3 linked regions of the Arabidopsis thaliana genome follow. The protein of the gene in region 2 interacts with the protein of the main gene of each other region in a pairwise test. Each region holds a gene or a part of one and is shown on either strand. Other genes may lie near its edges.

Evidence for each region.
Region 1: the proteins of FRS12 (region 2) and bZIP43 interact in a two-hybrid assay, tested with the Arabidopsis thaliana proteins (one large-scale study listed by BioGRID).
Region 3: the proteins of FRS12 (region 2) and HAT2 interact in a two-hybrid assay, tested with the Arabidopsis thaliana proteins (one large-scale study listed by BioGRID).

Annotation. Positions count from the first base shown.
Region 1 is NC_003076.8:15,537,569-15,540,728, forward strand, and holds bZIP43 (basic leucine-zipper 43), read right to left. Parts: upstream 1,322-3,160; 5' UTR 1,235-1,321; coding exon 737-1,234; 3' UTR 573-736; downstream 1-572. Other genes in the region: AT5G38810 (F-box and associated interaction domains-containing protein), read right to left, coding at 3,038-3,160. UniProt on the Arabidopsis thaliana protein: Probable transcription factor involved in somatic embryogenesis. Acts as a positive regulator of BHLH109.
Region 2 is NC_003076.8:6,328,657-6,334,150, forward strand, and holds FRS12 (FAR1-related sequence 12), read left to right. Parts: upstream 1-1,640; 5' UTR 1,641-1,899; coding exon 1,900-1,907; intron 1,908-2,056; coding exon 2,057-4,415; 3' UTR 4,416-4,433; intron 4,434-4,554; 3' UTR 4,555-4,994; downstream 4,995-5,494. Other genes in the region: AT5G18950 (Tetratricopeptide repeat (TPR)-like superfamily protein), read right to left, coding at 1-1,314; AT5G18970 (AWPM-19-like family protein), read right to left, coding at 5,058-5,180, 5,291-5,336, 5,447-5,494. UniProt on the Arabidopsis thaliana protein: Putative transcription activator involved in regulating light control of development.
Region 3 is NC_003076.8:19,215,679-19,219,521, forward strand, and holds HAT2 (Homeobox-leucine zipper protein 4 (HB-4) / HD-ZIP protein), read right to left. Parts: upstream 2,330-3,843; 5' UTR 1,970-2,329; coding exon 1,819-1,969; intron 1,684-1,818; coding exon 1,373-1,683; intron 1,290-1,372; coding exon 1,210-1,289; intron 1,114-1,209; coding exon 804-1,113; 3' UTR 593-803; downstream 1-592. Other genes in the region: AT5G47360 (Tetratricopeptide repeat (TPR)-like superfamily protein), read right to left, coding at 1-200. UniProt on the Arabidopsis thaliana protein: Probable transcription factor that plays a role in auxin-mediated morphogenesis. Negatively regulates lateral root elongation.

The sequences.
Region 1 (3,160 bases), 9.2 Mb from region 2:
TACCAATAATCAATAGTGTAATTTAGGTTTTTAAAAAATAGCATTAACTGCTTTCTAAGCCAAATCTTGCAAAACCTCAGTCCATGCACTACCAATACAAGGTACTAAAATAAAATAAAATACAAGGTACTAAAATACTACAGATAAAAGCTCTTCTTTGCTTGACATAATTAGATTTACGAGAGTTTCACACACAAGTACACAACCATGTAAGGTCTTAATTGTTTTTGTTTGCGTTAGATTTACGTATTTGCTTTTCATATTCTTATTATTTTAATCACAATCTTAATTCTTTTCTTAATAATTTTTCAACATAAAAATGCAAATGGAAATGGAAGAAAATAAACCGTTTACGGCTGGTGTATATTTTTTTCAAAGACACTACTTAAGCCAATTTAGAAAGAACAAAATTGGTCATTATAAACGTAAAATTTTAAAGAGAAAAAGAAGAAAGTCTACTGTTAGTAATTGATGCTTGTATTTACATTTTGCAAAAATATTTATGCATGTAATTTTTTTTAAAATTATACTTCAGCAATGTGAATTTTTATCGTTTGTTATGCAAACAATTGTGAAACAATTTCTTACTTCTATTCACGGGCAACACAAGTTTGAAGAACTCTGCTTTAACAATTACTAATTTAGAGTCTTAATTAAATCTTAAGCTGAGACAGATCTCTGGATATACATTTGTTGATACATACTAGAGCCCCAAAAAAATAAAAATAAAAATCATCTATACAACGTCGTCGTCGTCTCTGATGCAAGAGAAAGGACTCTGATTCTGAAGCTGCATATCACTAATCATTTGCTTAAGCTCAGTGGTTTCCTCTTTGAGCTGAACATTCTCTTCAATAACCTTCTCTTGAGACTCTAAAACGCAGTTAAGCTTACGAAGCAGCTGATGATTCTCATCCCTAAGCCACATCACCTGTGACCAAAGCTCATCCACTTGTCTCTGCTTCCTCATACGCGATCTTCTTGCCGATTCTCTGTTAGATATCTTCCTCTTTTGCTTCCTCTCATTTATTATCTCCTTATGATTCTCTTCTGCTTCATCTGAGGTCGAGTTGTTGCTGCTGATCAAACTCATGAACTGTGAAGTGTTCACGCCAGTTTCGAAGCTGAAGAATGGATTAGGGTTTTGTCCGCAAAATGGTGAGGATGTAGGAATATGGGAAAGGTACGAAGGTGGACAACCATGGAGGCTAAAAATGTTGGTGGATGGTTGCATTATCGGTGGAGACTTGGGACGCAAGGTAGGGTTTACTCTTAGGTGATGGAAGAAAAGAAAGATTGTAGGATTTAGGGAATTGTGATGAATGTTTGGTGTGTGTGGTGAGAAGAGGTGTTCATATAGACTAGTAGGGGGACAATTGTGGACCATGGTTTCTTCATTTGGGTCAAACCAATATAAAAGCATCTAACAATCATGCAGCTAAAACGTGTATTTATATAACTTTATTTATTATTTAAAAACACGATCTATTTTTTCACCTATAAAATTATTGAACTACTTAGAACGAAATCTAAATAACTTATTTTTTAAAGCCTGTCTAAGATTTATTAGAAGTTGGTTGAAGTCTTAGGGTGAAAAATGGCTTTGTAAATGAATGATTGGGATTAATTGAGTTTTTCTTTTCTTTCAATGGCTAGGAAACAAATTGTTTTTTTTTTGTTGTGTGGAAATTTCAAATATCTTTCAACTTATTTTTTAAAACCTATCTAAAATTTATGAGAACTTGGTTGAATTTTTGGGGTGGAAAATGGTTGTGTGTAAATGAATGACTGGGAATAATTGAGATTTTTCTTTCTCTCAATGGCTAGGAAACAAATTTGTGTTTTTTTTTTTGGAAATTTAAAATAACTTTCAACTTATTTTTCTGCAAAATAGTAGATAAATAAATTGAACAAACTACTTTTATAATTTGGTCAATTTTTTTCAATTTTGAGTTGAATGAATTAAATCATTTTTTAATAATTTATTCATCTTAAATAGTAAACGTTTGGAGAAATTTCAAAATGTCCATTTTCTAATACCGTACCACCACTTTTTGAAAATGACTTCTATCTAAAATCTTTTAAATATTTTATTATATTAAGCTTGGTTTAATATATATACATGTAAAATTACACATTTAGAAAAAAGTAATTAAAGCATATAATATTTTATAGAAGTGTCGGATTGACACATATAGCAATCATGCGTAATTCTTCATTTTCGTCGTATTTTGCTAAAAGTTCGACCTATGTAATTAGATTCTGTTAGGGGAAGGGTGGTGATTTTGAAATTTAACCTTTTGAAACCCAAGAAACATATGGGCTTTTATAACCATCCAAATTTATATTATCTTTAATTTTTTTTTAGTGTTGTTAGAAAAAAAAAAAAATATTACGTGATGGACTTAATTAGTACTAGAGGAAAGCATCTCATCAAGAAGAACAGAAGAAGCATAAACAGACCTATGAATGAGACCTTGAAAAGGTTGAGAGAAAACAAATTTAAGAAGCTAAGTGTCCAATTCTTTTGCATATTTGATGTGTTCGTTTAGTTTTAATAAAGCATAAATCTTTGTTCATAAGATCTCAACAGAAAATGAACTACAAATCTCTAATCAATCTACAGTGGTATTCATATCACATGACTTTCTTGTTTTAACATCAATTCTGACAATTCAACTATTCAATCATTGACCACATCGGTTTCTTAACAATCAAGTTATTGGATATAGAGAGCCCTCTTCACCTAGGTAAAACCTCATAGGCCTTTTGATAACCATACAAAAAAATATTAGTTTGCTCTCACTCTACGCCAACAGGGTGATAAAGCTCACACGTAAGTAACCTGTAAATGACAAGTAACACTCTTAACCAAAATAGCTTGACTCGTTGGCTTGGCTTTCAAGATAAGATCCTCACTCTGAGTTACCTAGTAAATCGTACTTGTTCTGCAGGAGGATTGCCTGCTTGTTCTTTACATGTCGACGTTGTTGTGGTTTTGACTTGAGTTGCTTCGAATCGTCAATACTAAGATCCTCTATATAGTCAAAGGCAAAAACATTGCGAAAATATTGTCGTTTCTAATCCGATTGACCTTAATCTTCGGCAAGGAGTAGATATACTGTGACCATTCCTGTTTCTCAACATCCTCTAGAACCCA
Region 2 (5,494 bases):
CTTGTTTTCTTTGCAAAATCCTTTTATCAAAGCGTTATACGTGATTGCATTCGGTGTAACCCCGGTTTCAGACATATTCTTGAAAATCTCGAAGGCCTCGTCTGATTTTCCATGTGAGCAGAAACCCTTTATCATCGTATTGCAGCTTAACATTGTTCCTCCATAGCCATTTCTCAACATCTCATTGTAGAATGCTTCAACAAGCGAAATTTCGCCTCTTTTAAAATGCCCGTGTATCATCACATTGTAAGCGAACTCGTTTGGTCGCATCCCTTTCTTTATCATCTCAAACCAAAGCTTCCTCGCGCTCCCTAACCATCCCTTCTCACAGAATCCTCGAATCATCGTAGTATACACAACTCTATCAGGTGCATAGCCTTTATCTTTCAGATTCTTGAATATACAATAAGCCTCAAGCTGCTTCTTATTCATACACAACCCCTTTATAATCTTCTGGTATATATACATACTCGGGAAATGGTTCCACGCTATCATCGTATGAAGAACCTCCGACATACAAGCATAGTTCCCAATCTCACAGAATCCAGATATCAGTTTAGCATACACATACTGTCCTGGATCAAGCCCTTGTTTCAATCCCTGCTTCAAAAGCTCATAGCCTTCTGAAACATCCCCACCATCACACAAAGCTCGAATCAAACACCGAATCCTCTCTGAATCAAACTCAGATTCTACCATTTCCTTATGAAGTTCCCAAAACCGATCGAGTTTCCTCGCTTTCAAGCAACCTAATAAAACAGAATTGCAAGTCACAACTGAAGAACTAATTCCCATATCTTTCAGTACATTATACACTTCAATAGCTTCCTCTACCAACCCTTCTTCACTAAGACACTTCACGTATTGCTCTAATAACGTAGGCTCAGGTTTAAAGCCAGTGGTATCGAGAAAACTCTTCGCAGCTTTCACGGCTTTTCCATCCAAAAGGGCACCAAAGAGAATATTCAAAGAAACAGGACCAGGTGTGTAATCATAATTGGAACACAACCACCGGAAAAACCACAGAGAAAACAGAACATTGTTCTGAGATTTCAACAGTTCGCCGAAAAACAGAGGATCAGCGAAATCAAACGAAGGAAAATCAGATACCAGAGTTTGTTGCCATCTCTGTCTCTCTCTCATGATGGTAGACACAGTTTTAGCCATCTCCGTATAACTCACAGCCGATTTTTGCTCATCGGGCTTGGATTCACAATCACGAGACTCGACAGTTAGACTCCGTATCTGGGTATTAGGGTTCTTTCGAGTTCGGTTTCTAAAGAAGCTAATCAAATACGACTGACCTCTACTCATGGCGTATCACTAACTCAAAAAACTCGTGGGCAAACTCGAAATCAAGCTCCAAAGAGAGCCAGAAGCAAATTGTAGAAGAAAGGAGGTGAATTTTTTATTCCGGGAAAAGAAAGTCGAATACTTATCACCGGAACCCTAGATTTGGATCTTTCTGTGTCATTTCCAGGAGATGATGAAAAAGGTTTGGACTTTGGAGTAAATAAGAATAATTAAACAAAGTTTATTACAGCATCAAATATAATTTGTCAATAATGTTATGACGACATCAATTTTTAGATTGGTCTTGCTTTTAAAAAAAAAATAAAAAAGAGGTCAATTTGACGGATAAAAAAAGGTGCTTGCTTTGCTTTAGCTTCTTCTTCTTCTCTCTCTGTATCTATCTATCTATCTATCGTCTTCGCTGAAATCCCTAATTAATTTGGTTCCTACCACCCTCAATTTCCCGCGCAAAGAGAATGTGGAAGGTCATGAAATGAATCCTTTTAGTAAATTCCAATCGACGACATCTAGCTGAAAGTTTCAAGCTTTCTCGCAATCTCCGTCCTTTACCGATTCGTTTGGTCTTTGGTGGTCGCTTCGACGAGAATGGAGAGGTAGTTTTCTGATTTTTGTTTCTATTTATTTCCCTGAATTTCATATCTCCGTTCTTGTGTTCGTTGGCTTCAATTAGATAAGTGTACTTAGATTTCGAATCTTCTTGTAAAGCTTCAAGTTTTGAAAATTGTTATGTTTTCAATTGCAGTGTAGATACTGAGCTTACTAGTTTCAACAATATGGTTGCTAAATCATCATATCCTGTACGGATTTTGCATCACAACAATGGTATTAGTGAAGATGAAGAAGGAGGTTCAGGAGTTGAACCTTATGTGGGTCTAGAATTCGATACTGCAGAGGAAGCTCGTGAGTTCTACAACGCTTACGCTGCTAGGACGGGGTTTAAGGTTAGGACTGGTCAGTTGTATAGATCAAGAACTGATGGTACGGTTTCGTCTAGGAGGTTTGTTTGTTCGAAAGAAGGTTTTCAGCTGAATTCGAGAACTGGATGTACCGCGTTTATTCGTGTGCAGAGACGTGATACAGGGAAATGGGTTCTTGACCAGATACAAAAAGAGCATAACCATGAGCTTGGAGGTGAAGGTAGTGTTGAGGAAACGACTCCGCGACCTTCGAGAGCTCCAGCTCCTACAAAGCTAGGTGTTACTGTCAATCCACATAGACCCAAAATGAAAGTTGTTGATGAGTCTGATAGAGAAACACGGTCCTGCCCTGGTGGTTTTAAGCGGTTTAAAGGTGGTGGTGGTGAAGGAGAAGTGAGTGATGATCATCATCAAACACAGCAAGCTAAAGCGGTTACGGGTACTGAGCCGTATGCAGGGTTGGAGTTTGGTTCAGCTAATGAAGCGTGCCAGTTTTATCAGGCGTATGCGGAAGTTGTTGGGTTTAGAGTTCGTATAGGTCAGTTGTTTCGATCCAAAGTTGACGGTTCGATCACATCAAGACGGTTTGTTTGTTCAAGAGAAGGGTTTCAGCATCCTTCAAGAATGGGTTGTGGAGCTTACATGAGGATTAAAAGACAAGACTCTGGTGGTTGGATTGTTGACCGTCTCAATAAAGATCATAATCATGACCTTGAACCAGGGAAGAAGAATGACGCTGGTATGAAAAAGATACCGGACGATGGGACAGGAGGATTGGATTCTGTTGATCTTATTGAACTAAACGACTTCGGCAACAACCATATCAAGAAAACTCGAGAAAACAGGATTGGTAAAGAATGGTATCCGCTGCTTCTCGATTATTTCCAGTCTAGACAAACCGAAGACATGGGATTCTTTTACGCTGTCGAATTGGATGTCAATAATGGAAGTTGCATGAGCATTTTCTGGGCGGATAGCCGAGCAAGATTTGCTTGCAGTCAGTTTGGTGATTCCGTTGTTTTCGATACTTCATACAGAAAAGGAAGCTACTCTGTTCCGTTTGCTACTATCATCGGTTTTAACCATCATAGGCAACCCGTACTTCTTGGTTGTGCTATGGTTGCTGACGAGTCTAAAGAGGCTTTCTTATGGTTGTTCCAGACATGGCTTCGTGCCATGTCGGGTCGTCGTCCTAGATCCATTGTAGCTGATCAAGATTTGCCTATCCAGCAAGCTTTGGTCCAAGTCTTTCCCGGGGCACATCATCGGTACTCAGCTTGGCAAATTAGGGAAAAAGAGCGGGAAAACCTCATACCGTTTCCAAGCGAGTTTAAGTATGAATATGAGAAATGTATATACCAGACTCAGACAATAGTCGAGTTTGACTCAGTTTGGAGCGCTCTCATCAACAAATATGGTCTTAGAGACGATGTTTGGCTCAGAGAAATCTACGAACAACGAGAGAATTGGGTTCCCGCGTATCTAAGAGCAAGTTTCTTCGCTGGAATCCCAATAAACGGAACCATTGAGCCCTTTTTTGGTGCTTCACTTGACGCTCTAACGCCTCTCAGAGAATTCATTTCTCGATATGAACAAGCACTCGAGCAGAGAAGGGAAGAGGAAAGAAAAGAGGATTTCAATTCTTACAACTTGCAGCCGTTTCTACAGACAAAAGAACCGGTGGAAGAACAATGCAGAAGACTCTACACGCTTACCGTCTTCAGAATCTTCCAGAACGAGCTCGTCCAATCTTACAATTATCTCTGTTTAAAGACTTATGAAGAAGGAGCAATCAGTAGGTTCTTGGTGAGGAAATGTGGGAACGAGAGTGAGAAACACGCCGTGACTTTCAGTGCGTCGAATCTCAATTCGAGTTGCAGCTGTCAAATGTTTGAGCACGAAGGACTTCTGTGTCGACATATCTTAAAAGTGTTTAATCTGCTGGACATAAGAGAGCTCCCGTCTCGGTATATACTGCACCGATGGACCAAGAACGCAGAGTTTGGGTTTGTGCGTGATATGGAATCAGGCGTGAGTGCTCAGGATCTCAAGGCCTTGATGGTTTGGAGTTTGAGGGAAGCTGCTTCTAAGTACATAGAGTTTGGGACATCGTCTCTGGAGAAGTATAAGCTTGCTTATGAAATTATGCGTGAGGGTGGGAAGAAACTTTGTTGGCAGAGATGATGAACTCGGCTTGACCATGTAAGATCAATCTTCTTCATTGATGTCTGAAATTAAAGATCATCCGTATCATGTCTGAAAGTTGTTGAAGATTCTAGTGTGAGAAATGAAAGAACTAAAGAGGTTGTTATCGTTGCTGTAGGTGTTTTTGCTTTACCCTTGAAGAAGATAAAGTCTTGGTCGCCGTTACTTAATCTTAACCTTTTTGATAACATCGTCGATGCAAGAGGTGGTGGTGGAGGTGGGAGTTTTGTGGTCATTGTGGTTCCTAATGATAATCATCATTGTAATGACGACGCTTCCGGTGACATGTTTGTTCTCTTGTGTGTTTGTTTATGTTGCTTGTTCCAGAGGATCTGAGAAAGTGAGAACTGATAAGAATTAGGATTTTGTTATTTTGGGAGTGGGCGGGGAAGATGCAGATCATGTTTAGAGTATCAAATCGTTTGATGCTAAGTTGTTGCAAAGAATGTAATGTGTAATATTATTATCAATCTCTTTTCTTTTTTTTCTTCACACCAACTAATCATTTTACATGATCATAATAATCAAACAAAACAAAAGAATAAACACACACAAGACACAACACACAAATTACACGATCTGAAGCAAATGTAAAACCGCTTTTAAGAAGAATCATGAAACTCAAACTCTCCCAAGATGAGGCCTTTCTCCGGAGGCGACTGTTTCTCCGACTCCAGCATGAATAGCTCCGGTGCACAACAACTGAGTAGCACTCACAATTATAGTCAGAACTTCAAGAGTTCTCTGCAAAAAAGAATCAACAAAACACAAAACATGATAAGTATCCGTAGAAAAACAGTTTACAAATTCAGTTTCTTAGAATTAAATTTTAAATCAGAGAGTAAAAAGCTCACTAGATTGGCTTCGGTCCAGCCTATGTTGATCTCCTTGCAGGCCAATCTGTATCAACATCATATCGGTTTAGATTTGGTTTAAGGAGAATGAAAAGAAACTGAACCGGATTAAAACCGGTTTAATTTAATAAAAACCGGATGGTTAAGTTTGTTTACCCCATGGCGAGGAGAGTGAGAGACCAGGAGATTAGAGAGGAAGCCGCG
Region 3 (3,843 bases), about 13 Mb from region 2:
AGTACCTCGTTGATACAAGAGGAGTCTAATTGTACATTAGCCGAAGCTAATTCTTTCTCGAGATTACTTGTGCATCCTTGAAGCTGGCCGTATAATCTCTCGGCGGCTGAGACAGTTGTTAAAAAACGTAAAGCTGAGATTTTTGAGGGCTGAGATCGTAATGAAGGAGATACCAGACGAGAAATCAATGAATTTGGCATCTGGGTCGCTATAAGTGTAGCGATTGATGAAAGATTTCGTTAAGAAAATCGTAAGAATGAGACTTGAGTGAGAGAAATAGGAGAGTTTCGCTTTCGCAGATGGAAACGACGACGAAAGACTAAACGTATGGGCCGACATAATAATGTAGCCCATTAAGACCCAATAAGAATTGCTCATACATCTTTGTCAGATCTGAATCGGAAAAGCAATTGAAGTCAGATTAGGTCACAAGATTTCATGATTTCGTTAAGAACTTCAAATAAGCTACACTTCTTTTTCTTTTCTTTTTTGAGCAACTGCATATAAGCTACACTTATACCATGCTCAGAAACTGTGTATTTATCTAGAAGACGTTTGTGAATTTTTGGTTTAATTTAGAACTCTTGTAAGATATCAAAAAAAGATAGTTTCATAATTTTTGGTTAATATAGCAAGTTTGTAACTAATTTTTGCTAATTTAAATCTTTTTAAGGTTGCATCATACATAGGACTAGTTCATGAGAAGGCCAATCATCCAAAATTACAATGACCCCACACAGATAGACTATATAACGATAACGAAAAATACCAAAACACCCTTTTCCCACCACTAAAATAAAAAATCACGATCGTGGACGCAAGGCTTCAAAATTCAGCCCATGAGCCACCTGACCAGCACAAGCAACCCACGGATTGATAGAAACGGGCCTGTGATTGTGGTGATGGTTCGATGATGATGGGCCACCCACACGCTCGCACGAAGGACACATGATGAGTGTAGTTGGTGGAGTCATCTGACCGTAGAATTGTGGAGACAGCTTGAGAGTTCGAAGCTCCATAGCCTCTTTCTGAAGTCTCCGGTTCTCTTCCGTTAGCTTCTCTACGCACCGTTTCAAGTATTCGCAATCTACCTCCGTTTGCTTTAACTTGGTTCTGTAAAACCAAATCGGACCTTGTAAGTAAAAACTTCTACACAAGGGGGTATAAATGTAATTTTACAATTTTGGTGTTAAGACAAGAAAATCTCACCTAGCTCTTCTGTTTTGGAACCACACTTCCACTTGTCTTGCCGTCAAGTTCAGCTTCTTAGCCAAAGCTAGCTTCTGTTTCTGTAAATTATGATAATAACCTTGGTTATTTCAAAGTAATTACGATAATTATCATTTGATTCCTCTGACTTTTTTACACTTACGGGATTGAGAGTGTTGTGTTCTTTGAAAGTCTCTTCGAGAAAAGCAGACTGATCTTTTGATAACCTGAGCTTCTTCCTCGACGTTTCGCCCCCGTCTTCTTCTTCATCTGAGGTTCCACGTGAGTACCCTCGATCCGGAGTGATCTCGTCGTGATCGTCGCCGGAGCCAACGCCGGTTCCGGAGATTCCTTCTCTCTCACTTCTCTTCCCGCTAATGGTGCTTGAGATCGTACTGTTTGGTGACGAAACTCCTGTGTCTTCCTCGCAGTTAACCGTTGATGGAAAACTGTTCACGTCTATCTTGCGAAGATCTGCAAAGAGCAATCAAATTTTAAGTTTGAGATCTGTTTTTATTTTACTTGGAAACGAAGAAAAGTCTCATACTTCAATTCTGAAATCTGTTCTGTTTCTTTAAAAAAAAAAACAGAGAAGATTTAAGTATATACCTGATGTAGGATCGAATGTTTGGTTCCATGGGAGTCTCTGGAGATTGTTTGATAATGAAGAGTTAGGATTCAGATTCATCTGAAGAGGATTGTGATTTTGTGAAAACCCTAAGCTTAGGCTCAAACCTAGATCTTCTTTGCCCATCATCATGTTTTTTATTTCCTTTCACAAGAACTCAACAGTTTCAGGAATTATATTTCCTTATGAGAATAGAGAAAGAAAGAACACGAAATGGTTTGTTCTTTCTGAGATAGAGATGAGAAATGGTGTTTGTTTCAACTCGAAGTTAGGACTCTTTGTGGAAGAGAAATAGAGAGAGATGTGAGATGGTAATGAAGAAGAGAGGGGATTAATATAGTACTTTGAATGATGAGAGATTTTGTCAGGTGGCTAATTACAATCCATCATTATTGTTTCTTTGTTTTTGGACTTGTATTACTTTATCTCCAACTTGTGTCCCCCCTTTGGCCTTTGCCATGTCTTTCTTTTTGTACTTTCTCAATATTTGTGTTTTTCTTTTTCTTTCACAAACATTTTTAGTTTATTCCTTACAAGAACCCATGCATAATAAGATGGCAGTTTGTCCAAAACAAATAAGATGGCCAATATGTTTTCAAGTGTACACATGTATATGTGTTTTGTGTCTGAAGATTTAAAGCCAATGTCTTTAAAACCAATAGAAATGTCCGGACCACTCTGAGAAAGTAATCTACAATTAAGTGAATCATCAAGGTGCGATGTTTTTTGTATATGGATAACGCAATTTGCACTACTTGTGTTAATTTTCATGATCCATATCATGTAGTATGTCTCAAAGTTGATAAATACAATAATTCTCGTACTTCGTTTTGTCTTAATCAAGTACACGTCATTATACTCAAAGTACATGTATTATGTGGATATCAATAAAAGAAAGTATAGAAAATAGTATCTTGATTAGTTACGGCATACCGAGCTGAGTCAAATCTCCAATAGTGTAGCCAATTATTTGTCCAAATATTTTTTAAAGAGAAAAGGGAAAATAGTATTTGAGGTTGGATATAATGGAATATTGACTAATTGGAGTGGTTGGTACAAAACACAATCAAAAAGAATCTGAACTTGTTCAAAGTTGTGGACCAACCAACGGTTATGAACCAATGATATACGTGTGAGATGAATATTTGCACATAAATATCATCATCATGGTTTCTACTTTCATCAACAATGACATTTTAAAGCTACTACTTTTTTTCGTTTCTTCCGTCAGTAAAACCTTTAAATGTTTGTGCTTTTTCCTTTAGAAATAAAAATTTAAATGTGAGCAATATTGGTCAAGTGTGTGTAAATGTATAACCACTTTGCGTACAGTAACATGGAGATAGGAGCATGTGGGTCATAACAGCGTGATCGTGCGTGTTGTGTTGTTTCCTCACTCGCCTGCTCCTTATCATGTGTAACCATCCGCCTCAATCAATGCTAACTTGTTAATTATTTGATTCCTTTAACTGCTGCCTACTTTTTTATCGTCTAATATTCCTTTCTTTTCACAAAAACTAGTTGTAGACTAACTTCAGTTTTTGTAAATAGTTGTTTTACAATGCCTGAAGCATGTAAACTTAATTGTTCTAGTAAACTACTAGTGATCGTTGCATAATCATAATTCACAATCCAAATAAAAGTGTCATTAGTGTATATGTAAACAATAAAAAAATGATGGTTTGGATATACTTTTGTAAATATATTTCATGTTTATTTAGAAAAAAATAACATGTAAACTAAAATTCCAAAAACAATTTAATAATTTCCGCCTAACGTAGACATGTATATAGTGAAATTATGAAGAGATACGGCAATGAGCGACAATAATTGAGAGCAAAAAGATGGGTTTCGTGGTGAGAGATATTATGAAAAGTGGGACCCAACGCTTTACATAAGATCCGACAAGATGTCGGAGTTGTGTTTCAGTGTGATCTGGCTGTCCCACGTGTTCACTCTGACTTGTGCCACACGCACTGACCAAGTGCGTTATATCCACGCGCGCA